2 linked regions of the Macaca fascicularis genome follow. The protein of the gene in region 2 interacts with the protein of the main gene of each other region in a biochemical or structural test. Links are inferred from orthologs where the notes say so. Each region holds a gene or a part of one and is shown on either strand. Other genes may lie near its edges.

Region 1 (15,347 bases), on a different chromosome or scaffold from region 2:
GCATGAACATATGTTTTTAATTCTCTTGGGTCTATACCTGTTGTGAAATTGCTGAGTCATGGTAATTCTGTTTAACTTTTTGAGGAACTGCTAAACTGTTTTGCAAAGTAACTGTACCCTTCTACATTCCCATCAGCAGTGTATGAGGGTTCTACTTTCTCCACATCCTCACTAACATATGTCTGTCATTTTGATTACAGCCGTCCTAGTGAATGTGAGGTGGTATCTTACTGTGATTTTTTGGGTTTGTTTTGTTTTGTTTTTTTGAGATGGAGTCTTGCTCTGTCACCCAGGCTGGAGTGCAGTGGCATGGTCTCAGCTCACTGCAAGCCCCGCCTCCCAGGTTCAAGCAGTTCTCACACCTCAGCCTCTTGAGCAGCTGGAACTACAGGCACACGCCACAACAGGAGACAGGCTTTCACCATGTTGCCCAGGTTGGTCTCAAACTCCTGGCCTCAAGTGATCCGCCTGCCTAAGTCTCCCAAAGTGCTGGGATTACAGGTGTGAGCCACCGCACCCAGCCCTTATTGTGATTTTTATTTGCATTTTGCTAATCAAAGATGATGGTAAGCATCTTTTGGGGGCTTATTGGCTATTTGTGTATCTTCGGAGAAATGACTGGGAGGGGTTTGCACTCTAACACCAAGTGAATGCAAGCGGCCCACAATAAGAAAGGCTGAAGGGGCGGGAAGAAATCTGAGCTCTGTGATCCTCCAGAGCAAGCCTCTGGGACAGGCCCCCTCAGGAAGAGGAACTGCTGGAAATGAAATCACAGTTGAGCTGGATAGGGACACAGGAAAGGAAGGATGAGATAGACCAACGTGGGGAAGAGAAACAAAGACAGGAACTCCTGAAAGCCATCTCCCACATTTTTTAACACTACACAGAAACGAGGGAGAGTTCTGAGCTTAGACTTTCCTGAGCCTTTCTTATCAGGAAAACTCATCTGACCTAAAAATAACAGAAAAGTCTTTGAAGTGAAATTGCATACAAAGGTTTTTTTTTGTTTTTTTGGTTTTTTTTTTTTTGAGACAGAGTCTCGCTCTGTCGCCCAGACTGGAGTGCAGTGGCCGGATCTCAGCTCACTGCAAGCTCCGCCTCCCGGGTTCCTGCTATTCTCCTGCCTCAGCCTCCCGAGTAGCTGGGACTACAGGCGCCGCCACCATGCCCGGCTAGTTTTATGTATTTTTTAGTAGAGACGGGGTTTCACCGTGTTAGCCAGGATTGGTCTCGATCTCCTGACCTCGTGATCTGCCCGTCTCGGCCTCCCAAAGTGCTGGGATTACAGGCTTGAGCCACCGCGCCCGGCATCATACAAAGTTATTATATAAGAAACAAAAATACGCAAAATACCCTCCCTGTGGACAGTGAGAGTACGTTAGAAAGATACGCCCACATAACAGAGCCAAACTGTAACCCGCTATTTCAAATCAAGCCAGGTGACATTCTAACAATACAAAGCATGAGAGAATAGCATAAATCAACATTTTAAAAATCAGAAATAAGGCGACAGAACTCAGGAAAGAATTAGAAATAAAAATCATTTCAGAAGTAAAGACTAAGTTAGATGAAATGCAAGTGTCGATAAACACAGCAGATCCTGCCTGAAAAGGATAAACAGTGTGAAAAAGGAAACATTTCAAGAGCAAAAAAGTGAAGAGGTAAAAAGGTTTTGAGCAAAAGTAAAGACAGGCAGAACGGCCGGGCGCGGTGGCTCAAGCCTGTAATCCCAGCACTTTGGGAGGCCGAGACGGGCGGATCACGAGGTCAGGAGATCGAGACCATCCTGGGTAACACAGTGAAACCCCGTCTCTACTAAAAATACAAAAACTTAGCCGGGCGAGGTGGCAGGCGCCTGTAGTCCCAGCTACTCGGGAGGCTGAGGCAGGAGAATGGCGTGAACCCGGGAGGCGGAGCTTGCAGTGAGCTGAGATCCGGCCACTGCACTCCAGCCTGGGTGACAGAGCGAGACTCCGTCTCAAAAAAAAAAAAAAAAAAAAAAAAAAAAAAAAAAAAAAAAGACAGGCAGAAAGGTCAAACCTATGAATACCAGGAGTCCCTGGAAAGGAAAACAGAACAAATACCAAAAAGTAATCCAGAAAACTTTCTTAAAATTAAAAAACAAAGATTTGAAACTTGAGATTGAGAGATCATGCCCTACACTTAACAGTATCAGCCAGGTGCAGTGGCTCAGCCTGTAATCCCAGCACTTTGGGAGGCTGAGGCAGGCGGATCACCTGAGGTCAGGAGTTCAAAACCAGCCTGACCAACATGGCGAAACCCCGTCTCTACTAAAAATAACAAAAATTAGCCGGACGTGGTGGCGCACACCTGTAATCCCAGCTACTCGGAAGGCTGAGGCAAGAGAATTGCTTGAACCTGGGAGGCAGAGGTCGCAGTGAGCCGAGATCACACCATTACACTTCAACCTGGGCAACAGAGCAAGACTCTGTCTCAAAAAAAAAAAAAAACAAGGCCAGGCGAGCTGGTTCAGCCTGTAATCCTAGCACTTTGGGAGATCGAGGTGGGAGGATTATTTGAGGCCAGGAGTTCAAGACCAACATGGCCAACATAGTGAGACCCTGTCTCTTAAAAAAAAAAAAACCCAGCATCACCAACTAAAAGATGTAATTCTAGTAAAATTATTAGACTTTAAATTTTGAGGGGTTCTAGAGAAAAGGAACCTTGTGACTTAAAGAGAAAAGACAATTAGGTTATTGTCAGACTTTTCAATAGTAAGGATTGGTGCAGAAGAAAAAAGAATAACATGTTTAAAATACTCAAGGAAAGAAAGTATGGGCCAGGGATTTATAACCAGGAAAATTGACTTTCAAGTGCACACAAAGACTTATACACAAAAGTTTATAGCAGCTTTACTAGCCAAAAACTGCAAGCAGTCCACATGTCCATCAACAGGTAAATGATAAGTTGTGATATATCCATACTTTGGAAATACTGCCAGCATTAAAAAGAAATGACTTAACACAATAAGAAGATGAATACATTTCAAAATAATTATGCTGAGTGAAAAAAAAAGAAAAAAAAGGACACACTGTGATTCCACTGCTGTAATATCTAGGAAGTGCAGCTGAGCAGGCCCGTGGTCACCAAGATTGGGGACTGCAAGATGGGGAGATGGATTACCAGGGGATCGAGGAAACTTTCTGGAATGATGGGCATGTTCCTTATCTTGATTGAGGTGATGTGATGATCCTACAGGGTATATTTTTGTCAAAATTCACCAAATCATGCACTTGATATGCAGTTTATGTCAATTATACCATATCAAAGCTGTTTTTAAAATTAGCTTTCAAGTGTAAAGAATATGAACTATTATCAATATGCAAGAATTCAGGGAATATTTGGGAGGCGGAGCTTGCAGCAAGCCGAGATCGCGCCACTGCACTCCAGCCTGGGCCACAGAGCGAGACTCTGTCTCAAAAAAAAAAAAAAAATTCAGGGACTACTGTTTCTAGGAGCCCTTCCTGCGGAATCTACTAGAGGATACATGTCACACAACAAAAATGACTACAAAGACTTCAGCATAAATATATAGAACTAAGATGAAATGAGGGTTAAAAGGCTGGGCCCACGGCGGACACGGTGGCTCACACCTGTAATCCCAGCACTTTGGGAGGCTGAGGCAGGCAGATCACCTGAGGTCAGGAGTTCAAGACCAGCCTGACCAACATGGCAAAACCCCATGATGTGGTTTGTCTGTGTCCCCACCCAGATCTCATCTTGAATGCCCACGTGTTACAGGGGGTACCTGGTGGGAGGTGGTTGAGTCATAGGAGGAGGTCTTTCCCATGCTGTTCTGTTCTCTTGATAGTGAATAAGTCTCACAAGATCTGGTTCTATGAGGAGGAGTTCGCCTGCACAGGCTCTCTCCCTTTTTGCTGCCATCCATGTGAAATGTGACTTGCTCCTCCTTGCCTTCTGCCATGATTGTGAGGCCTCCCCAGCTATGTGGAACTGTGAGTCCATTAAACCTCTCTTTTTTTGGTAAACTACCCAGTGTCAGGTATGTCTTTATCAGCGGCCTGAAAATGGACTAATACACCCCATCTCTACTAAAAATACAAAAATTAGCCAGGCGTGGTGGCACACACCTACAATCCCAGCTACATGGGAGGCTGAGGCAGGAGAATCACTTGAACCTGGGAGGTGGAGGTTGCAGTTAGCCAAGATCGCGCCTCTGCACTCCATCCTGGGTAACAGAGCCAGGCTCCGTCTCAAAAAAAACAAAAAAAAAAAAGGCAGTGGCTCACACCTATAATCCCAGTAATTTGGGAGTCCAAGGTGGGAGGATCGCTTGAGCCTAGGAAGTTTGAGGCTGCAGTGAACCATGATCATACCAACCTGCCCTTCAGCCTGGGTGACAGTGAGACCCTGTCTCAATAAAAAAAAAAAAGTTTTTGTTAATAATAAATAAAGAGGAGAATCAGTCATCTTTGGAAAGTGACAGAACCAGTTCAGAAAGAATCAAGCGTTTATCCAGGCTTTCCTTTCTGACCTTGTATTAGTCTGTTTTCACGCTGCTGGCAAAGACATACCTGAGACTGGGCAATTTCCAAAGGAAAGAGGATGGAGAACTCAGTTCCACGTGGCTGGGGAAGCCTTACAATCATGGCAGAAGGCAAGGAGGAGCAAGTCACATCTTACATGGATAGCAGCAGGCAAAAAAGAGAGCTTGTGCAGAAAAACTCCCATTTTTAAAATCATCAGATCTAATGAGACTTATTCACTATCACGAGAACAGCATGGGAAAGACTTCCCCCCGTGATTCAGTTACCTCCTACTGGGTCCCTCCCACAACATGTGGGAATTCAAGATGAGATTTGAGTAGGGACACAGCCAAACCGTATCAGACCTCTACCCCGGGTAACCAAATAGTTAATGAGAAGTACCCCTATCTGGAGCATTCCATGGAATAAATGACAAAGAAAGGATAGAATTAGAGTATCACCATTTTGCAAGACCCAGTGAATTCAGAGAAGCCTGAGTTATTGACAGCTGTTAATATAAGAGACAATCTAACGTGCCTCCTGATGAGAGAACACACCAGCTCTAGTCTTGGCCAAAGGGATCACACCTGAGTCTCTCCAGTCTTGGCTCCAGCTGACAGTTTTCAGGAATTCAGAGGAACATATTGAACTGCATATAAAGCAACAAAACCCAGACCGAGAAACTAGACTCTCTTCAGAAAAATTGTAAGGAAAAAAATCAGAGGAGGAATCTGCAAAGTAGGAGATGTAAAAAAAAAAAATCCAAAAAAATGTTTAATGGATAAGACTGTAGTGTCAAGGGATGCACATTTGGGCGATAAAAGGGGGGAAACTGGGTTAGAAGTCAGGGCAGTGGTTACTTGTAGAGGGAGCTGTGATTAGGAAGGGCATAATGACAGGGCTTTTCAGGCAGGTGGCAGAATTTTTGTTGATCCATTTATAATAAAAGATTTTTCTTAAAAAAGCTCCAATGTACTGTTCTTTCATGTGTTTAAAAAATGTCCTGTTTCTTAAATTTGTGGGAGTTCTTAATTTCTACTTTTAGTGCACACTGCAGAGAAATGCACACACTGTTGGGATCCTTGAGGGAGAATTCTGAGCAGTGGACCACATGATGAGTGCTTCATGTCAGCCTTCACACACAGTCCAGTCCTGAGAAGCGGAGGAGAGAGGGACAGCAGGCTTGGGTCTGCGAAAGCAGTGTTCTCTTGCAAGGCAGAGTCACCATGTGTTCCATCTTTACAGATTGGCTGCAATGCCGTCAGCTGGGCCCCTGCTGTTGTACCTGGAAGCCTCATAGACCAGCCTTCGGGACAGAAACCCAATTACATCAAGAGGTTTGCATCAGGTGGCTGTGACAACCTCATCAAGCTGTGGAAGTAAGTAGGGAAATGTGACTTTCTATTTAAGGGGACATTTCTGCCCTTTACCCTACTCACCATGACTCAGCCACACTCACAAGAAACAAAGTCACCTTTCTTTCTCCCTCCTGCCAGTAAAATACTGTTTTCAATCTGTCGAAGGACATCCTTGAAAAACAACACAACACCTGTTCACCTAATTCCCAACTGTTGGAGCTGACTCTCTGGCTGTGGAAGCAGAGCATTTCCTGGAGGGTTTTTTTTATGGCTGGGGTGAAGGGAATAAAATGCCACAAACTCCATGAATGAAAGAAGAAAGATGGAATCGCTTCTCCACCCCAGGCAGATCCTGTTGGGTAGGGGAGGAGTTGAGGTGTGGGAAAGGCCCCCAGGTGGCTCCCTGCTGATTCTCTTTCTGTCCCCGCTGTTAGGGAGGAGGAGGATGGCCAGTGGAAGGAGGAGCAGAAGCTAGAAGCGCACAGTGACTGGGTTCGAGATGTGGCCTGGGCCCCCTCCATCGGCCTGCCCACCAGCACCATCGCCAGCTGCTCCCAGGTCAGCCCAGGGCCATGAGAGCATCTCTTGTCATGTAGTCTCGAGTCAGGCCCATCAGCTCTTAGTCTCCTTAGCGGAAAGTCCTCTGTGAAGGTAAAGGGAGAGCAACAGGCACCTTTGGCCCAGAGCACAGGGAGTCAGGTCATCGTGTGGGGAACTCTGGGTCAGAAGCCACAAGTGGTCTGCCTCCACTGAGATGAGAGAGCTACAACAGAACCAGCACCAAGCAGGAGGTGGATTCGGGATGAATTTTCCCTCCCGCCCGTTGTGACACTAGGGAGCCAAGGTGCCCAGGTGCAGTTCCGAGTGTTCCCAAGCAACGATGGGGCGGGATGGGAAGGGATGGGAATTCTAGGCTCAGCTACCGAGCCACCCTTCCCAGACAGCAAGGACCACCAAGGGCGAGCCTTTAGTTATATGCCACCACCCTAGAGGGAGCCAGCCAGGCCTTTCATATCATAGGAACCTGTTTGGTTTGGTTCTAAATTTGAGATTTTTGTGCCTTTTCACTTGTGCCTTCTCATTCTCGGAGCTTGGTTTTTGGAGAGCTCTGCCCATTCAGTTGAGAAGGTATAGATAGCCAGTGGAGGTGACTTAGCAGGCATCAGGAAAACCCCAGAGAAAATCTGAGTTAGCAACGCAGAGTCCACCTCCGAAACCTGGATGAGAAAAGGAATCCGGGACACTCTTGACCAGTGTGAAGAGACAGAAGCAAAGCTGTGGATGCCCCAGAGGTCCTTGGCTCCCCTTTGAATCCCCCACCCTGTGCCTGCAGAGAGGTGCTGCGTGGCTCTAGATGGGGAGGACATCACAAACACAGCCTCGCCCCCATCTCCTGACTCTATCCTGTTTCTTCCTAGGACGGTCGTGTGTTCATTTGGACCTGTGATGATGCCTCAGGCAATACGTGGTCCCCTAAATTGTTGCACAAGTTCAATGATGTGGTGTGGCATGTGAGCTGGTCCATCACAGCCAACATCCTGGCTGTCTCCGGTGGAGACAATAAGGTACATACCCATTCCCCACGGCTTGGTGGACATGGCCTGTTGGTCTTCACCCCGCCCACTAGAGAGCGCACTTGACATTCCCACCTGACTGCAGGCTGGGAAGGAGCCTCAGCCAGGGCTGTGTGCTGAGTGTGCCTCTTAGTTACATCATTAATGTCACAGCCCCCAAGGTAGTATTGGTATGTCCCCCTTTCACAGATGAGGAAAGAAGCTGACAGAGGCGATTTGACTTGCATGGGGGTCCCAAAACTATGAGGTGGCAGGGCCAGTCAGGCTCATCACCCTGCTAACCATTTGGTCACCTCATGGCGATGTTCAATTAGCTGTGCCAAAAAAGTAAGTGTATGAGAACCCATAAACAAAAGCGAGAAGATTGGGGACTTTTTTTTGTCCCTAACACTTAAAAGGCTTTTTAAAAATCTGTAGAGTTTATGAATACTTGTTATGCTGGTAAGAGTCAGGTACACAGTGGGTGCATTGAAAGAGTTTGCATTTTGCAGCTAAAAAGAGTTCTGGAGACCAGCTGCACAGGGATACAAATGTACTTCACACAACTGGACTGTGCAGTTAAAAATGGCCAAGATCATTTTATGTTACGTGTATTTTACAATTAGAAGGAAAAATTACTCGCAGAAAGGAAGCAGTAACAAGCCACGGCCATCTGCCCAGCTGAATTCCCCTGTAAGACAGAGGATCCCTAACTCCACAGGGTCAGTTCCACATGGAGTGGCTGTGCTACGTTTTCAGGCACATCTGCTCTGCGTCTGAAGTGCGAGTTGGTCTGGATCCTGCCAGCCCTTGCTGCTTCTCTCCCTTGCCTGTGTTGGTCTTTTACTGTTTCCCAGTGGCCACTTTGGCTCCATGTCTTACCTTTCATTTGTGTAGCTCACAGCACAACCAACACAGGCAAGGCAGAGCAGCAGCTGATCTCCAGAACTCTTTTCAACTGCAAAATTGAAACTCCGTACCCATTAAATAACTCCCTTCCCCATTGCCCACCCCCCAGCGCTGGCAGCCACCCTTCTCCTTTCTGTCTATGTGAATGTGACTGCTCTAGGGAACTACCTAAGTGGAATCATACAGTATTTGTCCTTTTGCAACTGGGTTATGTCACTTAGCAGTATGCCCTTAAGGTGCCTCCATGCTGTATGTAGCACGTGTCAGAATTCCTTCCTTTGTAAAGCTAAGTAGTGTTGCATTGTATGGACAGCCTACACCCCATTTCTACACTCATTCCTCCACCAGCGGGCGCCTGGGCTGCTGCCACCTCATAGCTATTGCGAATAGTGCAGCTGTGAACATGGGCATGCAGATCTGAGAGCCTCTGCAGGCAGCTTTTCTGACCGAGGGTCCCTTTCATCTACAGTGGTCCCAGAAAGATCTAGCAGGCCCCCTCTCAAAGCCATATTTCTAGTGAGTGCCAGTCAGGACTAGAACCCAGGTTTGATGGCACTCAGGACAGACCAAGGGACCAGATTGCCTCAAGCAGGCCCACAGTGATTTTTACAAGGCTGTAAGCAAGTGCCTGGCTGTACATGCAATGTTTTGGGGTCCCCGTCACTATGCATTTAGGCTTCTTGCTCTTTCCTTCTTTATAAGCCTATTTCCTTTTGCTGTCTCCATAGCACCCTTAGTTAAAGGACTTAGTGTTTTCAATCCGAGAGTTTTCTGCAGTGTGTTGAGTGAATAAAGTGTGTCCCTAAAGCAAGAGTTCTTAAAATCAAAATCATTATTTTCATTTTTAATGAAACTAATATATGTACATAGCTTTAGATTGTTTTTGTTTTTTGTTTTGTTTTGAGATCGCGTCTCACTCTGTCGTCCAGGCTGGAGTGTACTGGCAGTCTTGGCTCATTGCAACCTCCGTCTCCTGGGTTCAAGTGATTCTCCTGCCTCAGCCTCCCCACTGGGAGATTATAGGTGCCTGCCACCAAGCCCGGCTAGTTCTTTTGTGTGTATTTTTAGTAGAGACGGGGTTTCACCTTGTTGGCCAGGCTGGTCTCGAACTCCTGGCCTCAGGTGATCCACCCATCTCAGCCTCCCAAACTGCTGGGAGCCACCACACCTGGCCTAGATTGATTTTTTTTAATGCAGCCTCCTAATTTTCACTCTCCAGGGGCAAATCTTTTCAGCTCTTAGCTATTTCTTACACAGTTTACTTCAGTGTAGAAACAACATACTAATGTTACCTTCCTCTACCACAGTAGCTTTCAAACTGCAGCGTTGTTACACCTGTTAAAACAGATTGCCAGCCCCACCCCGAGAGCTTCTTAATCAGTTGTTCCAGGCCCCAAGAATCTACAGTTGTAGCAAGTTCCCAGGTGACCGATGCTCTGGTCTGGGGACCACACTTCACAAACCCTGCTCCCTGCCACCCCATATCCTGTTACCGTAGCTCTGTCACAGTTTGGTGAAAACACTATCCTGTGTTGACATCATCATCCACAGCTGCTATTATTGTTACTCCTTTTTTTCTGTGAGTTTTTATTCCTGGACTCTCATTTTGGTGGGATTTCAGTGGAGGAGGGACATGCTCTGTTCATCCACAAGCCTCTGGGCAGTGGTTCTTGATGGGGATGAGGCTCATATTTAGGGGACAGCGGAGGGAAGGCCTCAGACCCATGATAATCTGCTTGTGCACTGACTTGCAGGTGACCCTGTGGAAGGAGTCGGTTGACGGGCAGTGGGTGTGCATCAGTGATGTCAACAAGGGCCAGGGCTCCGTGTCAGCGTCAGTCACAGAGGGCCAGCAGAACGAGCAGTGACAAGACAGGTGGGGCCTGGCTCCCTACCCGCCAGCGCCAGGACTGCCCCTTCCTGGGCCAACTGACCAAACAACTGGGAAGAGCCCCCAACTCCAACAGGATTGTTTTCCCAGGAGGAGTTACAGATGCAGCCACAGATTGATCATCTGCCTTAATTATCGGAGATGCTTTGTAATCTGCTGTCCAGCTGAAAGCGCTCATGTTATGAGGAAGAAACTGCAAATGAAGTTCAAATCTATTTTAAACTATTTTGGGCCATTTTTATGTACCTTTGGGTTCAGGCATTATTTGGGGGGTTTTGTTTCCAAAGTAACTAAATAAAGTCATATTGCTTATAATTCCCGCTGCGTTATCCTAACCACCTCCCACCCCACCCCGCCAGCTCAGTTTGACTCTTGTCGGTCCACGCACTAGAACAACGTACACAAAGGCCATGGCTGTGATGGCCTGGCTCAACCCCACCCACAAAGGTGGCTTGTCACTGCATGAGCATCTCTTTGATTCAGTTTATACTGAAAGCACCATACAGAGCACTGGACTCAGCCTTTGGTGACAAGGACTGTAGCCCTGGCTCTGCTGCTCAACCTCTCCGTACACATCCTCTTCTGCAGAATGGGACTAATACAGTCTGCCCTACAGGATGGCTGCAGGACTCAAATGAGCTAGCGCATCTGGTGACCCACAAAATGCCATGCAGATGCAAGGTGATATTAACCAGACACCAATAGCTATGAGGCTGGCCCAGAAAGTGGGCACAATTCATTCAGTTTATTGACGCTGTCAGGGAAAGGAGGGCCCTGTGATGGGAGACCTAACTGACCCTGAACCAGGTTTTCAGCAGAGGCCCTGTGACCCTGACAATCGCCACAGCCATCACTGAGCCTGCAGTGAGCCAGACACTACCCTGGATCTTTCACACACTCACTAATTTAAGCAACACAAGAACCTTGTGTGGGTGTCCCCAGTTCACTAATGAGGAAGCGCTCAGAAGGTAGAAGCACTGCCCAGGACTGTGCAAACATAAAGCCAGCACCTGGGTCTGGCCTGTCTCAAGAGTTACTCCCCACTGTAGCATCAGGGTGGGAGCTGGGGGGATCTCAGCTATAATCCAAGGGTGCTTCTCACACCAAACCTTTGTATGAATCGGCCCAGATAAAAGGTCAGCCCAGTTGCCTCAGGACCCCTAGTCTACCTACTTCTTGTCCTTCCCTCCTTTTTCAGCAGCAAAACCCCCTTTTTAAAAAAAATAAATCTGATCATACTATGTAACATGCAAAAAAGTGAAACCACTTTGGTTAAAGGTGAGGATAGAGAGGCCATGGCCTGGCCCAGTCAGCCTCCCAAGTCACTCCACAAAACCCAAGCCTTCTGAGACCAACATGAAAACAGCTGCTTCCTTCCCTTCATTACTCAGAAAAGCAAAGCCCAGGAAGGCATCTTCGCGTGCACTACTGAGCGTAGAGTTCTACACCGAATCCTTGAGCCACATCCACATCTGCCTCCCTGATATGCATGCTCTGTGCTCCTCAAGCCTGGGCCTGGGCTTCCTATGGTGCCAGCTGCTGTCACCAAGTAACTACCGAGAAGGAACTAGTCCCGTGTCACTCTGGGTTGCTGGTAGGTTAACGGGTCCGTGGCTGTGTACTCTATTTGTAACTCACACCACCAAGGATCGGTTAAGATAATTGGGAGTTAAATGAAGTTTGCACCATAATAGTTGTTTATGCTTAGAGTGGCAACACATTAACCATTCCTGGGGTAAGAGGAGACCCCAAAATTAGTTACCACAAAATAGCCTAGTCAAATAGAAACACTATCTGTAAGACTTGAACGCAGTTGCCAAGCCCAAATGAGATAAAAGAAAGGGAAACTTAAAAGGAACAGAGTTCTGGTTAGGGCCAGATGGCGCTAGCAGCCACATGTTTTTTAATCCTTTTGCAAAAACAAAGCAACTGTGACAGCAAAAGAAACCCAGAGACCCTAGAACATGGAGTAGGCCAAAGCCTTCATAGACACAATACCTCTGAGAGAGCAGCAGGGCGAAGAAAAGGGAGTTTTTATGGTGCTATAAGCCAGAGACCCCCAAAATTGCCATCAGATACTCATCCATTCTGAGTAGAAAACTCAGCAAGTCAATGTGAAAACAATTCCCAAAACTAGAAGATTCACAGGCTTCCACTTACAAGTGAGCCCAGAAACACTAAGGGGAGACCTTCCACTTCTGCATATAAAGGATTAACAGTTACAAGAATTTCCCAGCCAGGTATAGTGGCTCACAACTGGAATCCCAGCACTTTGAAAGGCCAAGACGGGCGGGTTATTTGAGCCCCGGAATTCAAGACCAGCCTGGCCAACACGGCGAAACCCCATCTCTACTAAAAATACAAAAATTAAGTGCAGTGGCGGGCCTGCAGTCCCAGCTACTCAGGAGGCTGAGGCACAAGAATCGTTTGAGCCCAGGAGGCGGAGGTTGCAGTGAGCCGAGATTGCACCGCTGCACTCCAGCCTGGGCAACAGAGCAAGACTCTGTCTCAAAAAAAAAAAATATTTCCCTGGCTGGGTGCAGTGGCCAGTACTTTGGAAGGTTGAAGGAGGAGGATCTCTTGAGCCCAGGAGTTTGAGATCAGCCTGGGCAACACAGCAAGAGCCTGTCTCTTTAATAATAAATAAGAATTTCCCTCACGCTATAAACAACTACGAAATCAAGAAAAATACATGAAACAACTACTGCTTTCAGACATAGGACAACAGGCAGTGTTTGGGAAAAGGGAAACAGGTAAGCACAACAAATGCCCCAGATTACTACCCAGAAGCAGTTTCTGGGCCAAAAGGTAAAGAGAGACTCCAGAGTCTAGTAGTCTCTGGGACTTGAAGAGACAGAAGTCAGAGTTTAGGAAGACCCAGGCAGGCTGGGCGCAGTGGCTCATGCTTGTAATCCCAGCACTTTGGGAGGCCGAGGTGGGCAGATCACCTGAGGTCAAGAGTTCGAGACCAGCCTGGCCAACATGGTGAAACCCTGTCTGTACTAAAAATACAAAACCTGGCCAGGCGTGGTGGTGCACCCCTGTAATCCCAGTTACTCAGGAGGCTGAGGCAGGAGAATTGCTTGAATCAGGGAGGCGGAGGTTGCAGAGAGCAGAGATTATGCCACTGCACTCTGGCCTGGGTGAAAGAGCAAGGCTCCAACTCAAAAAACAAACAAACAAAAAAGACCAAGGCAGAATTGAAGGCAGAGGAGGACGAGAGGAGGAAGCCACACAGAGCAAGCTCCTGAGAGCTGAAGGGTCTCCTGGAGTCTTTGGCCAAGTACTAAATAGGAAGGGTGAAACCAATAGACCAAGCAGCTGGAGCTCACATAGGGGTGGGAATAGCCCATGTTCCCAGCAACCAGAAAAAAAGAGACATTCCACACAGAACAACAAATACAAGAGGGCAGCAGGCCAGGCGCAGTGGTTCACGCCTATAATCCCAACACTTTGGAAGGCTGAGGCGGGTGGATCACGAGGTCAGGAGTCCAAGACCAGCCTGACCAAGATGGTGAAACCCTGTCCCTACTAAAATTAGCCGGGAGCAGTGGCGGGCGCCTGTAATCCCAGCTACTCAGGAGGCTGAGGCAGGAGAATTGCTTGAACCTGGGAGGTAGAGGTTGCAGTGAGCCGAAATCGCGCGACTGCACCCCAGCCTGGGCGACAGAGCAAGACTCTGTCTCAAAAAAACAAAGGAGCAGCAGCCAACTTCTCATCAGAAAGTAGGCAAACCATAAGAAAACTAACATCTTTAAAGTACTGAAACAATTTAAAAAAAAAAAAAAAAAACCTGTGTCTCAAATTCTATACCTAGTGAAAATATATATTTCTTTCAAATAAAAGCTGAAAGAATTAATCACCAGCAGAGCTGTCAATACAAGAAATGCCAAAGAAGTTTCCTTCAGGCAGAAGGAAAAACGGGCTGGGTGCAGTGACTCACACCTGTAATCCCAGCACTTTGGGATGCTGAGGCAACAGGATTGCTTGAGCCCAGGAGTATGAGACAAGCCTGACCAACATAACATGGTGAGACCCTGTCTCTACAAAAAAATACAAAAATTAGGGTTTACAAATATGACTTCAGGCCCAACACGGTGGCTCACGCCTGTGATCCCAGCACTTTGGGAGGCCTAGGCAGGTGGATCACTTGAGGTCAGTAGTTCAAGACCAGCCTGGCGAACATGGCAAAACCCCATCTCTACTAAAAATACAAAAATTAGCTGGGTGTGGTCGCGCATGCCTGTAGTCCCAGCTACTTGGGAGGCTGAGGCAGGGGAATTGCTTGAACCCAGGAGGTAGAGGTTGCAGTGAGCCAAGATCACGCCACTGCACTCCAACCTGGACAACAGAGCAAAACTCCATCTCAAAAAACAAACAAACAAACAAATATGACTTCAACATATTGCAAATACCTTCAACAACTCCAATATCCCTTTACAGATATCCCCTTACAGGCCGAGGGGGGAGGATCGGTTGAGCCCAGAAGGTGGAGGTTGTAGTGAGTTGAGATCACACCACTGCACTCCACCCCAGGTGACACAGTGAGACCCTGTCTCAAATAAAAAAGAAAAGAAAAATGGATCTGCACTAAGGAATAAGGAGCAACACGATAGTAAATACCCGAGTTCATAAGACTTTTTCTTAATTTCTTTAATCTCTCTAAAAACATTGGCTATTTCACATGCATTGTGGGGTTCATAGCTTATGTAAAAATAAAATGTGTGACAATAATATCACAAAGAATAGAAGTGTGGAAATGAAAGCATTCTGTGCTACAGTTCTTACACTATCTGTGAAAGGATATCATAGTTGTTGAAGGTGTTCTGCAATATACTGAAGTCATATTTGTAAATCCTAGAGCAACCATTCAAAGAATACAACAGTACAGTATAGTAATAAGCCGACGGTGAAGACAAAATGATACCATTCAAAACCCTCTAAAAGTGGTTATGACAAGGAAAAGAAAAGGAAGAACAGATGGGACAATGGGAAAACCGGTGACTTACAAATAGTCTGAGATTAACAGTAATGTGCTAACATTGGTGTTTTAATTTTGATAAATGCACTATGGTTATATAAGATATTCACATTAGTGGAAACTGAATTGGGGTATTCAGAGAGAAAG
Region 2 (15,247 bases):
ATTGCATATACGGTACTAAAGGAAAAGTGAGTTCTTTCTCACACTGTACCACCTGTGACAAAACTTTTTTTTTTTTTGAGATAGCGTTTCACTATATTGTCCAGGATAGCCTCAAACTCCTGGGCCCAAGCGATCCTCCTGCCTCAACTTCCCAAGTAGCTGGGACTATAGGCATGCACCATGGCACCTGACTTGAAGCATTTTAACTTAAATGCAGGAACTATTTGTTTTCCAATGGTTAAAAAAAATTAGAAATCAAAACCAACAAGTACTTACCCCCACTGACAGAGATATTAAATGTTCCTCCAGATGAGGGTAGAAATTCAGATTCTTCTTTTTCCTCTTTAATGTGCTAAAGAGATGAAAAAAGCAACAATTTAGCCAGAATAAAACTGTGGAATGATTTACTGACAAAAAAAAATTTACACATGATTCTTCATCTACAGACTAGATGACATACCAAGTTATTCCAGAAAAGTTCTCAGATCCAAATTTACACTAAGATCTATGACTTCCCTAAATATTACCTCCCATTATATAATCATAAATAAAATCCAAGGTCATGAAGAATACTGGTTAAGCAGGCTGGGCACAGTGGCTCACATCTGTAATCTCAGCACTTCAGGAGGCCAAGGCGGGCAGGTCACTTGAGGTCAGAAGCTCGGGACCAGCCATGCCCAACATGGTGAAACCCTGTATCTACTAAAAATACAAAACTAGCCGGGCATGGTGGCGCGTGCTTGTAATCCCAGCATTTTGGGAGGCTGAGGCAGGCAGATCACAAGGTCAGGAGATCAAGACCATCCTGGCCAACATGGTGAAATCCCATCTCTACTAAAATAAAAAAAATTGACCAGGAGCAGCGGCTCATGCCTGTAATCCCAGTACTTTGGGAGGCCGAGGAGGGCAGATCACGAGGTCAGGAGATTGAGACCATCCTGGCCAACATGGTGAAACCCCATCTCTACTAAAAACACAAAAATTAGCTGGTGATGGTGGTGGTGGTGTGCACCTGTAGCCCCAGCTACTCGGGAGGCTGAGGCAGGAGAATCACTTGAACCCAGGAGGTGGAGGTTGCAGTGAGCTGAGATTGTGCCACTGCACATCAGCCTGGCGACAGAGCAAGACTCCGCCTCAAAAAAAAAAAAAAAAAAAAAGAACACTATTAAACAAACTAACGTGTACATATTCATTACTGGTATCTCAGTAATGAAGCCGAAGAATCTTTGTTTTCTTAGGTAACTATGAGTGGCTCAAAATATGGAAAATATATTTTTATTTTTATTTATTTAATTTTATTTTTTGAGAGGGAGTCTTGCTCTGTCTCCCAGGCTGGAGTGCAGTGGTGCGATCTCGGCTCACTGCAAACTCTGCCTCCTGGGTTCACGCCATTTTCCTGCCTCAGCCTCCTGAGTAGCTGGGACTATAGGTGCCTGCCACCATGCCCGGCTAAGTTTTGTATTTTTAGTAGAGACAGGGTTTCAACATGTTAGCCAGGATGGTCTCAATCTCCTGAACTCGTGATCTGTCCTCCTCAGCCTCCCAAAGTGCTGGGATTACAGGCGTGAGCCACCATGCCAGGCTGGAAAATATATTTTTAAACTACACTATTTTAAAATTTTAAAACAAACCTGCTTTTACACATCTAAGAATTCCTGTCCACTACATTTGATTATAAGGTGCTTTTGTTTTAACTGAATCATAAAAAAAAAAAAAGAATAAAAAATCACTTGGTACCCACAACGTAAAAGCAATATATTATTTATTAATACACTTAAATTCAAGTATACATTTCGTTTTCACTCAAATTAGTCGTACCTGGAACAGTGGGCTAGTCTGGTAAAAATAAACACAGTTCTGTTATAATTTCTGAGACTACCTGCAAGACTGATTAAAAATAAACTCAATGCTTTCTTTAGAAAAAATATAATGGAAGCATTTTGCAGGCAAATAATTTTAAACGCTTTCTCTCCCATGCATAAAAATTCAAAATAAGACAAAAATATATCAGAGATTAGAGATAAATTTTTAAAGAAAAACACAGCTTTCTTACATGAGATGAAATATCTATCTTCCGTGCTATATTATCTACACATCTGAATGTAAATATCTAGTATTCAAAGTCAGTGGCACTTTACAACTGGGTAATTTTAATGCAGAGTACAGCACTGCACCATCTGCAAATACACTTAATTATTAATGTTGACTATTACAGGAGAATATCTATAACCCTAATTCCCTTTCCCCAACTAAAGAGAAGCATTTGGAATTTAAAAACTCCAAGAAATTAAGAATTTAAGTTATTCACATTAAGGAATAAATCAGACACACTGATCTAATTACATTCACTAACAAACTTGCATAAAAATACTTTTTTTTTGAGACAGAGTCTCACTCTGTCACCCAGGCTGGAGTGCAGTGGTGCATTCTCAGCTCACTGCAAGCTCCACCTCCCTCCCGGGTTCACGACATTGTCCTGCCTCAGCCTCCCGAGTAGGGACCTGCCACCACGCCTGGTTAATTTTTTGTATTTTCAGTAGAGATGGGGTTTCACCGTGTTAGCCAGGATGGTCTCAATCTCTTGACCTCGTGATCTACCTGCCCTGGCCTCCCAAAGTGCTGGGATTACAGGCATGAGCCACCGCGCCCGGCCATTTTTCTTTTTTTTAAGTCACTATTTCTCCAATTTGCTTTCTAGAAATGATTTATCCTTATTTATGGACTTCTGAACTAGATATAAGGTCAAAAAATGCACAATTTATTAGGTAATGAGTGCCTTCAATGTGTAAGCTACTATGAAACAAATAGCTCATCAAGACAAAGGGGAAGATTTTATCTCCTTAAACACATTTTTTTCAAAGAACCAAAGTACACATTGATGACTACTATTTCATTAAATGCATATTTTCCTTACCTATTATTCATGAGTGCATTCCCAAATGACCCTCTATTTGATAATACATAGTCTAGCTGTACATAAATGAAAGTACATTTCTCTATGTATCTTACAATTCTGTTTAAATATTCTCAAAATTAGTTCTTTTCTTTTTAAAATCAGACAAGGTCTTGCTCTGTCACCCAGGCTGGAATGCAATGGTGTGATCATAGCTCACTCCAACCATGAACTCTTGGTTCAAGTGATCCTACCTCAGCCTCCCAAATAGGTAGGACTACAGGCATGTGCCATCCTGCTGGGTTAATTTCTTTTTGTTTTTTTAGAGATGGGGTCTCACTATGTTGTCCAGGCTAGTCTTGAATTCCTAGCCTCAAGTGATCCTCCCACCTTGGCCTCCCAAAGTGCTGGGATTACAGGCATAAGCAAACATCATGCCTGGCCTAGTTCAAATTTTTAGTAAGATTTTATCCACATTCTTTATTCTCTTGTTAATAAACTCTAGGAGATCCACTTCTAAGGAGAATGATTTTTGCAATCATCTTGTAATAGACTAAATTTACTGAATTATTTTTATAACTTAGTAAAAAATTATACAAAACATTCCATAGTCAAGATATTGCAAAGAACAATGAAAAAGCCAAAGATGAGATGAGAAGAACTTGTTGATTAATTTTCCAAGATGATATAAAATTAGAAAGCAAGAAAAGTAAATTATAGATTTGTTCATTAGTGGTTAAAAAAAAACACCCAGAAAATTAAAAGGAAAAATTAATGATGTAACTCTGTGTTCAAGGACTCTTCTTATTTACAACAATTATCAACTAACGACACATTTATTGAAAATCATGACTAAGTTTAGTGAAATATCCTTTACTTCAACTCCATGTTCAGTACTAATTCAGAGGCCTATGCCACTGATAGTTGGCCCAAAATTATAGGCCAAAAAAAGACATTAACTTTACATGCAACACAATGAGGATTTCTGAATAAAATCTCTTTTCAGTTTGACATCCTGATAGTCATCTGACCAAATTATGTTAATCTCACATCAACTGTTAGTTTTAAACCATATAATCCAGAAACAAGGTTGGAGAACAAGAGTCTGGAGATGATACTTTTATCAGTATAGGTAAATAGATTCCTATCCTAAACATCTCAAAGAAAACAATTTATTTCAACTTAATTTTGCCACAAGTAGTCAAGAAAATTTTTCTTATTTTAATGTGAGATACACAAATATCACAAATTTGTCCAGTATAATATGAAAAAAAAAAAAAAATAAGTACCTCTCCCAAGAGCTGCTCTTCAGCAGCAGGGCTCTCCTCCCCATCACTCTGTGCTACTTGGTCAGAGTCTTTAAGAGCCTTTGGTACACAAAACAATTACAGGGGAAGGTGAAAAATGTAGCATTAAAAGGCTGTTAGTGAACCAGGAAGACAAAAGACCCAACCAACAACATTCAGAGCTAGTTTAATCATAAAAAGCAACAGTGAGTAAATTTATTTGAGAATCACCATTAGAGGAAAAGTAAAGAACTATTACTGCTAACACTTTCCCATTCTTTTTTTTTGAGACAGTCTTACTCTATCACCCACGCTGGAGGTCAGTGGCACGATCCCAGCTCACTGCAACCTCCGCCTCCCGGTTCAAGCAATTCTCCTGCCTCAGCCTCCCAAGTAGCTGGGATTACAGGCATGTGCTACAACATCCGGCTAATTTTTGTATTTTTAGTAAAGACAGGATTTCACCATGTTGGTCAGGCTGGTCTTGAACTCCTGACCTTGTGATCTGCCCTCCTCGGCCTCCCAAAGTGCTGGGATTACAGGCGTGAGCCACCGCACCCAGCCCACTTTCCCATCAATTTTTTTTCCCCCGGCAAAAAAACAAACAAACAAAAAACAACAACAAAGAAAACTTTAAGTATTTGAGTAGTCATTAATTCTGTTTTTCCTCCTTTACAAAATTCAAATATGTATGTCAAGAGAAAGGAATGTTCCACCAGCTAAGCTCATGCTATTTTTAAAATGAGAATTATTAACTTATTAAAATATCTAGAATAAGCATTTATTTTTATACTATGAACCATAAAACACAAATTTCTTAAATGATATTTCCTTCTTTGTTATGACCTAGCCAAAGTTTTAGAAGGTAGCTATTTTTAAAGGCCTTCTTACCACATCGGCTCCATCCACTTTGTTCAAGGCCAAAGCAATCTGAAATAAAAATAACAGCTCACCTACTACATGGAATTCTATTTCAGAGCATCCAGCAAATGTTCACCTCTTGCTTCTCATTGGCGAAAATCCACAAAAGTTCTTATAGGAATAGTATGTTTAAAAAAACAATAAAAGCTATAACTGGTTCTCCACGGTTCTAGCTTCTTTCACACGGAAGTGATTAGAAATAATCTGACAATCATTCTATTTCCTCATTTTCTGCCATCAGGCATGCAAGTATAACTTTCATATATTAATCTCTTACAAGCCTAAAAAAGTTACAGCCTCAAGAAGTTTAGACTACGAATAAAGTTAAATATAAAACTCTAAAGGAGTGAGCAAAGACACAGCCACTAAGGAGTGGGGTTGTGATGTGATCTTAGTTCTGCTGGACATCAAAAGAGCACTAAACTTCAATATGCACTTACAGTGCACGGTATACCTCTATCACACATGCAACAACCTGCAATGTTACAGAAAACTCTTGTCATTTCCAAAGAATGATGAAAGGCTAATACAAGTATGTATTCAAAACTCTGGCAACCACTGTGGGTAATAATGGAGAATAAAAAAAGAAAAAAGAAAAAATGCTGGCAACCAAACACAAATTAGTATTAAATGTTTATTGGGTGATTTAAGATAATCTGTGTCAAACTTTATTTTTTTAAAGTGTGATTCATAAACAGCATGCCATCTAACTTTCCCGAAAGTTTACCTTCTTTCCTAGATCTTCTTTCCTGTATCCTAGAAGTTCAAGGTATTTTCCACGAGAATCATCCTCAAAGTTCACCTTTTAAAAAAAAGACATATTCTTAAAAGAAAGACCTACATTTAAAGGCCAACTTTTTATAAGAATGAATCAAATTCCAAAGAGAATTATTAAAATTATCTGAAGTCTACATTCTAAAGATTCATTGTTAGAACGAATCTAAAGAATAGTGGGTTTTTTGGTTTTTTTGTTTGGAGACCTAGCCTCAGGAGGTCCTGAGAACATGTGCCCAGAATCATTTTTTTAAAATAAGTGATTTTTTTAATAGTAAATATACTAGTAATTAATTATCCTGGTTGAATAAAGTTTACTTTTGAACAGTAAGTTTTTTAAATACAAACTTATGTTCAAAGGTTAAATTGATACAAAACTCAAACTATGTGGAATATTCTATGTCCTAAAATTCTTTCCCAAAATTATTACAAAATATAAATTATTTAATTTTAGACTTTACCCTACCGTATTCAAGACTGCTTTACTTGAAAAATCAGTACTGTATAAAGAAATAGACATTCCAGTGCAGGCAAAATGACCAACAAGGAAATTCTATTTGTTACTCTATCCTAATTCCTCTTAAAGTAAAAGGAAAAATGCCTCCAACCTCTCTCCTCTATTCCTCTTCCTTTTTCCATTTTCCTTAACTAGATCTAATATAGATATTAAATATTCTATGTTTTCATTATAGTAAACTCTATGTACTAATCTTCAAAATAGGTATGCTGACTATGTCTCTCTCCTCTAAACAGATCTATTTTTGTTTTCTTATTAAAAATGTATTTCGTATTACACTTTTCAAAGTAGAGAAGGAAAAACTCTGGACACAGGTTGTATGCTCTTTATAAGGCTTCTTAATTTCATGATGAATTGCTGAAATCACACTTTTTCAATTCTTTAAAAGGAAGACAGATTTAGAATATAATGGAACAGTTAAATTTGCAGATAATGAAATAATACAGCCTTAAATAGCAACTTTACCTTCAAAAAGGACCACACATTTTTCTCAAATTCAGTCTGAGAAGCATCAATTTTTTTTTGGCAATAATTGATAAATCCTTGTGACTGCACAGCCTGCTGAAGTTGGTCTGACCGGCTGAGGAACTCCTTTTCTGTTACAACCTGACTAATGAACACATGGTGCTGCTGCTGCTGCTGCTCAGCTCCCTGATGAGAAGGCATTCTAACATTCTCAAATGTAACCAGTTTGCCTCCAAACTATAAAAGAGAGAATGAACAAACTCAGTGTTAACCCGAGGATATGGCCAAAAACAGTGCTTATAAAGTGGCCTAAACAGATAATCTGGATGAAATTAGTTGATACCACCTCTCATGCGCCACAGTCTGACATCACTTCAATTTCTGTTCTAGATGAAATGTACTTTTTTTTTTTTTGAGACAGAGTTTCACTCTTAGTCACCTAGGCTGGAGTGCAAAGGCGGGATGTTGGCTCACTACAACCTCTGCCTCCTGGGTTCAAGTGATTCTCCTGCCTCAGCCTCCTGAGTAGCTGGGATTACAGGTGCCAGCCACACGCCTGGCTAATTTTTGTATTTTTAGTAGACAGGGTTTCACCATGTTGGCCAGGCTGGTCTTGAACTCCAAACCTCAAGTGATCCACCCAGATACAGAAGACCAGATAGGATGATGAGAAGATTAAGCAGATCCAAAGAACAGACTTATGAGTGACATAAAACATATTCAAAGGTCTATTTTAGGAAGATTAATCTTGGAATATGTAGTAAAGATTAGAGAGGAAAAAGACAAGCAACAAATATGCAATCAAGCTATTAGAAGTCTGGTGTGAAAGAATTAGGCAAAGTGTCAGCAATGTAAAAGGAAGAAAGAAACAAACAAAAAGTGCTAGAGAGGATGTGGAGAAACTAGAACCCTTGTGCACTATTAGTGAGAATGTAAAATGGTAACGGTATAGAGGTTCTTCAAAAACTTAAAAATAGAACCATCGTACGATCCAGCAATCCCACTTCTGGGTATATGTCTCAAAAAACTGAAAACAGGATCCCAAAACGATAATTACAAACCCATGTTCACCACAGCATTTATTCACAATAGCCAAAAGATGGAAGCAACCAAAATGACCATCAAATGAAAGGATAAAAAAAATGTGGTATATATATACAATGCAATATTATTTGGCCTGTAAAAAGAAGTAAATTCTGTCATGCTACAACACAAATAAACCTTGAGGACATTAAGCTAAGTAAAATAAGCCAGCCACAAAAAGACAAGTACTGCATGATTCCATTTATATGAGTAATTTAAAGTAGTAAAACTCCTAGCAACAAAGTAGAATGTGGTTACCAGGGATTCAAGGGAAAGAGGAAATGGGGAGCTGCTGTTCAAGGGCACAGAGTTTCAGTTTTGCAAGATGAAAAAGTTCTAGAGATCTGTTGCACAACAACATGTATATAGTTAACACTACTGTAGTATATATTTAAAAATGGTTGTAGTGTATATTTAAAATGGTTAAGATAGTAAATTTTATATTACGTATTTTTTACAATAAAAAAAGCTGACAATTAAAAAAGAAAGCTAAAAGGATGAAGAGGAGGGAGGACACTCCCTGTGAAAATAAAAGAAAAGAAAAGAGAAGAGAAGAGAAAAGAAAAGAAAAAAAGAAGGGAGGGAGGGAGCGAGGGAAAGAGCTAGAGAGACAGAGAGAGAGAGAGAGAGAGAGAGAGAAGGAAGACACATTTAAAAAAAAGGGAGGAGGGCCTGGTACAGTGACTCATGCCTGTAATCCCAGCACTTTGGGAGGCCGAGGCAGGTGGATCACCTGAGGTCAGGAGTTCGAGACCAGCCCCAGTCAACATGGTAAAACCGCATCTCTACTAAAAATACAAAAATTAGCCAGGTGTGGTGGCGTGCACCTGTAATTCCAGCTACTCAGGAGGCTGAGGCAGGAGAACTGCTTGAACCCAGGAGGCGGAGGTTGCAGTGAGCCGAGATTGCGCTAGTGCACTCCACCCTGGGCAACAGAGCAAGACTCTGTCTAAAATAAAAAAATATTTAAAAAAAAAAAAGTGGGGGGAGGAACATAGAGTGTTGGCTACACAACAACAATGTAAATGTACTTAATGCCATTGAACTGTACATTTGAAAATGGATAAAATGATAAATTTTATGTATATTTTACCATGTTTTTAAAAAAGGGAAAAAAAAGAGTAGGTTCCAGTTTTTCAGAGAAATCATTTTGAATGATGCAATACCCACAAATACATCTCAAATCCCAACTTAAACCCCGACTTCTTCCATCAGAGTGATCCTGTAATAACACTTTGGTATAAAAAGTCCTTTGTGACTATGGACCATAAAAACAAAATCCACCTACTGAAAAAGAAGCACCAACAGGCCTTCGAATCCACTTGGGCGGCTTCTTCAGAGGCAACACTATACTATGCTGAGCAGTCTGCTGTGGAATTTGTAATGGAGGAAGGGGCTGTCCTGTGCCGAAGGGATCAAGATTCCCAAAAGATGATGAAAGCTAAAAAAGATTAATAACATGAGAATCTGACCATACACAAACTATCTTTCATTTTTTTCCAGTCATATCCAAAAAAATTTTTGATCACAATTGTCCAATTAACCAGCAATGTTAATCAGTGAAGTCATTTCAAAATATTACACAACATGTACTTTTTTCAGGCATTATAATAGAAAACTTTAACACTTCCTATTACCTTGTCAACTTGTTTCTGTCTTAAACCGTCTGTGCTTCCTCCCATGATAGAATAAACACTGATACGCCCATCAAACGAAGCAGCTGATAAGACAGCAGGATTTCGGGGACACCACTGAATATCGAAGCACCACTGTGTGTTGGTGGGAAGTTCATATAACACCTGGGCCAACAAAAAACAAACAACAACACTCAGAAAATGGTGGTGTGGGGAAAAGAAAGAGAGATCAGACTGTTACTGTGTCTATATAGAAAGAAGTAGACATGAGACTCCATTTTGTTCTGTATTTGAGATGCTGTTAATCTGTGACCCTACTCCCAACCTTGTCCTTGCAAGAGACATGTGCTGTAGTGACTCAATAAATACTGAGGGAACTCAGAGACCGGTGCCGGCGTGGGTCCTCTGTATGCTGAGTGCCGGTCCCCTGGGCCCACTTTTTCTTTCTCTATGCTTTGTCACTTTGTCTCATTTCTTTTCTCAAGTCTCTCATTCCACCTCACAAGAAACGCCCACAGGTGTGGAGCACCAGGCCACCCCTTCATCTGGTGCCCAACGTGGGTGCTTTTCTCTAAGGTGAAGGTACGCTCGAGCGTGGTCATTGAGGACAAGTCGACAAGAGACTCCCGAGTATGTCTACAGTCAGCCTTGCGGTAAGCTTGTGCGCTCGGAAGAACCTAGGGTAACAATGGGGCAAACTAAAAGTAAATATGCCTCTTATCACAGCTTTATTAAAATTCTCTTAAAAAGAGGGGGAATTAAAGTCTCTACCAAAAATCTAATTACGCTATTCCAAACAATAGAACAGTTTTGCCCATGGTTTCTGGAACAGGGAACTTTAGATCTAAAAGACTGGGAAAAAATTGGCAAAGAATTAAAACAAGCAAGCAGGGAAGGTAAAATTATCCCACTCACAGTATAGAATGATTGGGTCATTATTAAAGTAGCTTTAGAACCATTTCAAACAGAAGAAGATAGCGTTTCAGTTTCTTATGTCCCTGAAAGCTGTGCAGTAGATTGTCAAAGAGGCAGGGATAGAATCCCGGAAAGGAACAGAAAGTTCCGGTAATGGCTCGGTCAATGCAAAATGTTGACGATAATCAATTACAGGAGGTGATATATCCTGAAATGTTAAAGTTAGAAGAAAAAGGTCCAGAACTAGCAGAGCCATCAGAGTCTAAACCACAGTGGCCAACTCCTCTTACAGCAGCTCAGATGCCTGTAACTTTACAACCTCAAATGCAGGTTAAACAAGTACAAACTCCAAAAGAAGATCAAATAGAAAAAGATAGAGTCTCTGTCATGGCAATGCCAATCCAAATACAGTGTCCACAATATCAGCCGATAGAAAGTAAGACCCAGACGCCAGTAGCCTATCAATACTGGCCGCCAGCCAAACTTCAGTATCTGCTGCCCCCAGAAAATCCGTACAGACAGCCAGGAATGTTTCCAGCGCCACAGGGCAGGGCGCTATAGCCTCAGCCGCCCACCATGAAACTTAATCCTACAGCACCACCTAGTGGACAGGGTAGTGCATTACATAAAATTATTGATGAGGCAAGAAAACAAGGAGATATTGAAGTGTGGCAATTCCCAGTAATATTAGAATCAAGACCATCTGGAGCAGGGGCCCAAGAGGGAGAGCCTCTCGTAGCTGAAGCCAGATATGAGTCCTTTTCTATAAAAATGCTAAAAGGAATGAAAGAGGGAGTAAAACAGTATGGACCCAACTCTCCTTACGTGAGAACATTATTAGATTCCATTGCTCATGGACATAGACTCATTCCTTATGATTGGGAGATTCTGGCAAAATCATCACTCTCACCCTCTCATTTTTTACAATTTAAGAGTTGGTGGATTGATGGGGCACAAGAACAGGTCCGAAGACATAGGACTGCCAATCTTCCAATTAACATAGAGGTAGATCAACTATTAGGAACAGGTCAAAATTGGAGCACTGCTAGTCAACAAGTAATAATGCAAAATGAGGCCATTGAGCAAATTAGGGCTATCTGCCTTAGGGCCTGGGAGAAAATCCAAGACCCAGAAACCGCCTGCCCCTCCTTCAATACAATAAGACAAGGCTCTAAAGAGCCTTACCCTGATTTTGTAGCAAGGCTTCAAGATGCTGCTCAAAACTCAGTATCAATCGGCTCAAAGGGCAGAGTTGGTTGCAGTCATTAAGTGTTACAAGATTTTAATCAACCTGTTAATATTGTATCAGATTCTGCATATGTAGTACAGGCTACAAGGGATGCTGAGACAGCTCTAATTAAATACAGCATGGATGATCAGTTAAACCAGCTGTTCAATTTATTACAACAAACTGTAAGAAAAAGGAATTTCCTATTTTATATTACTCATATTCGAGCATACACTAATTTACCAGGACCTTTAACTAAAGCAAATGAACAAGTTGACTTACTGGTATCCTCTGCATTCATAAAAGCACAAGAACTTCATGGTTTGACTCATGTAAATGCAGCAGGGTTAAAAAACAAATTTGATATCACACGGAAACAGGCAAAAGATATTGTACAACAACCCAGTGTAAAGTACTATACCTGCCCACTCAAGAGGCAGGAGTTAATCCCAGAGGTCTGTGCCCTAATGCATTATGGCAAATGGATGTTACACATGTACCTTATTTGGAAAATTATCATATGTTCATGTAACAGTTGATACTTATTCACATTTCATATGGGCAACCTGCCAGACAGGAGAAAGTACTTCCCATGTTAAAAAAACATTCATTATCTTGTTTTGCTGTAATGGGAGTTCCAAAAAAAATTAAAACTGACAATGGACCAGGATATTGTAGTAAAGCTGTCCAAAAATTCTTAAATCAGTGGAAAATTACACACACAACAGGAATTCCTTCTAATTCCCAAGGGCAGGCCATAGTTGAAAGAACTAATAGAACACTCAAAACTCAGTTAATTAAACAAAAAGAAGGGGGAGACAGTAAGGAGTGTACCACTCCTCAGATGCAACTTAATCTAGCACTCTATACTTTAAATTTTTTAAACATTTATAGAAATCAGACTACTACTTCTGCTGAACAACATCTTACTGGCAAAAAGAACAGCCCACATGAAGGAAAACTGATTTGGTGGAAAGATAACAAAAATAAGACATGGGAAATAGGGAAGGTGATAACCTAGGGAAGAGGTTTTGCTTGTGTTTCACCAGGAGAAAATCAGCTTCCTGTTTGGAAACCCACTAAACATTTGAAGTTCTACAATGAACCCATCGGAGATGGAAAGAAAAGCGCCTCCACGGAGACGGAAACACCGCAATCGAGCACCATTCACTCGCAAGATGAACCAGGTGGTGATATCAGAAGAAAAGATGTGCAGGAAGTCAGGGACCCTGAACGAAGGGACCAGCTGAAGCCACGGCAGAAAAACATAAAATGTGAAGATTTCAAGGACACTTATTAGTTCCCCAAATTAATGCTTTTATAATTTCCTATGTCTGTCTTTAATCTCTTAATCCCATCATCTTCTTTGTAAACTGAGGAGGATGTATGTCACCTCAGGACCCTGTGATGATTGTGTAAACTGCAAAAATTGTTTGTAGAGCATGTGTGTTTGAACAATAGGAAATCTGGGCATCTTGAAAAAAGAACAGGATAACAGCGATGTTCAGAGAACAAGGGAGGTAACCTTGAACTGGCCGCCGGTGAGCCGGATGGAACAGAGCCATATTTCTCCTCTTTTTAAAAGCAAATAGGAGAAATATCGCTGAATTCTTTTTCTCAGCAAGGAACATCCCTGAGAAAAAGAGTGCGCTCTGAGGGTAGACCTATAAACGACCCCCTCAAGGCGTGCTGTCTTTTAAGGTCAAAGCCCAAGGGATGAAATAAGCCCTAGTCTCCTGTAGCACTCCCAGGCTTATTAGGATGAGAAAATTCCCACCTAATAAAGTTTGGTCAGACAGGTTGTCTGCTCTCAAACCCTGTTTCCTGGTAAGATGTTATCAATGACAATGCAATTTTAATTTTAATTTTAACGCCATCCTGTGGTCAGTGATCTCATCCTGCCTCCACTTGCTTTGTGATATTTTATGACTTTGTGAAGTATGTGATCTCTTGTGTTGGTACCAGAAACTGAGGCAACTGCAGGAGGTGCTGATGGCCTTGCAAATCTTAACCCTGTCACTTCGGTTAAAACCATCTGAAGTATGACTATTGTAAATTTCGTATGAATCCTTGTATGCCTGTTCTGTTTGCTGTTAGTCTGCCGGTATACCCAACAGTTCCAAAGAGACAGCGACCATCGAGAACGAGCCATGATGACAATGGTGGTTTTGTTGAAAAGAAAAGGGGGAAATGTGGGGAAAAGAAAGAGATCAGACTGTTACTGTGTCTATATAGAAAGAAGTAGACATAAGAGACTCCATTTTGTTCAGTATTTGAGATGCTGTTAATCTGTGACCCTACCCCCAACCTTGTCCTTGCAAGAGACACGTGCTGTGGTGACTTAAGGTTTAACGGATTTTGGGCTGTGCAGGGTGTGCTTTGTTAAACAAGTGCCTGAAGGCAGTATGCTTGTGAAAAGTCATCACCATTCTCTTAATCTCAAGTACCCAGGGACACGTACACTGCCAAAGGTCGCAGGGACCTCTGCCTAGGAAAGCTAGGTATTGTCCAAGGTTTCTCCCCCTGTGATAGTCTGAAATATGGCCTCGTGGGAAGGGAAAGACCTGATCGTCCCCCAGACTGACACCCGTGAAGGGTCTGTGCGGAGGAGGACTAGTATAAGAGGAAAGAAGGCCTCTCGGCAGTTGAGACAGAGAAAAGCATCCATCTCCTGCCCGTCCCTGGGCAATGGAACATCTCAGTGTAAAACCCGATTGTGTGTTCTGTTTACTGAGAAAGGAGTAAACAGAAAAGGGGGGAAAGTGGGCCGTGCTAGCGGCAATGCTGCTCTTTATGCACTAAAAAAGTTTATGGAGATGTTTGCATATGCATATCAAGGCACAGCACTTTTCCTTAAACTTATTCATGTCACAGAGATCTTTATTCATATGTCTTACTGCTGACCTTCTCTCTACCATGATCCTATTATCCTGTCACTTCCCTTTTTCTAAGATGGTAAAGATAATGATTAATAAATACTGAGGGAACTCAGAGACCGGTGCCTGCATGGGTCCTCTGTATGCTGAGTGCCGGTCCCCTGGGCCCACTTTTTCTTTCTCTATACTTTGTCTCTGTGTCTCATTTCTTTTCTCAAGTCTCTCGTTCCACCTAACGGGAAATGCCCACAGGTGTGGAGGGGCAGGCCACCCCTTCAGTATGGCCACTTCGTAACCAAAACACCTGAATGAACGTGGTCAACAAGTATAGCTAAATTGAACAATTTTTTGTAGAAAGTATCTGTAGCCAGGAAAAAGAATACTAAGATTTTTTAAAGTACAAGAATGATTCATTATGATGACCTATTCTGATTAACAGGAATGTGACTTAAAATTTCAATCGGATTTGAATAAACACATTTTAAAAACTGAGGTTCTTGTGTTCAAAATAGTGGATGCATTTGAAAAACCAGCACACTCTATTAGAGTCACCTTTTTTATTTTTTGCAACAGGGTCTCGCTCTGTTGCCCAGGCTGGAGGGCAGTGGCAGCGACCTCAGCTCACTGCAACCTCCACCTCCTGGGCTCAAGCAAT

Evidence for each region.
Region 1: the proteins of SEC31A (region 2) and SEC13 form a complex in vitro, tested with the Homo sapiens proteins (2 studies listed by BioGRID and IntAct, with this or other methods). The link is inferred for Macaca fascicularis from reciprocal best matches to the Homo sapiens genes SEC31A and SEC13.

The regions. Positions count from the first base shown.
Region 1 is NC_088376.1:148,611,927-148,627,273, reverse strand, and holds the end of SEC13 (protein SEC13 homolog), read left to right. Parts: exon of another isoform or gene 1-215; intron 216-1,280; exon of another isoform or gene 1,281-1,692; intron 1,693-2,025; exon of another isoform or gene 2,026-2,090; intron 2,091-5,753; coding exon 5,754-5,887; intron 5,888-6,300; coding exon 6,301-6,424; intron 6,425-7,284; coding exon 7,285-7,431; intron 7,432-10,082; coding exon 10,083-10,196; 3' UTR 10,197-10,534; downstream 10,535-15,347. UniProt on the Homo sapiens protein: Functions as a component of the nuclear pore complex (NPC) and the COPII coat. At the endoplasmic reticulum, SEC13 is involved in the biogenesis of COPII-coated vesicles.
Region 2 is NC_088379.1:50,977,523-50,992,769, reverse strand, and holds part of SEC31A (protein transport protein Sec31A), read right to left. Parts: intron 9,739-15,247; coding exon 9,577-9,738; intron 9,381-9,576; coding exon 9,228-9,380; intron 7,094-9,227; coding exon 6,857-7,093; intron 5,903-6,856; coding exon 5,828-5,902; intron 5,110-5,827; coding exon 5,071-5,109; intron 4,261-5,070; coding exon 4,183-4,260; intron 353-4,182; coding exon 277-352; intron 1-276. UniProt on the Homo sapiens protein: Component of the coat protein complex II (COPII) which promotes the formation of transport vesicles from the endoplasmic reticulum (ER).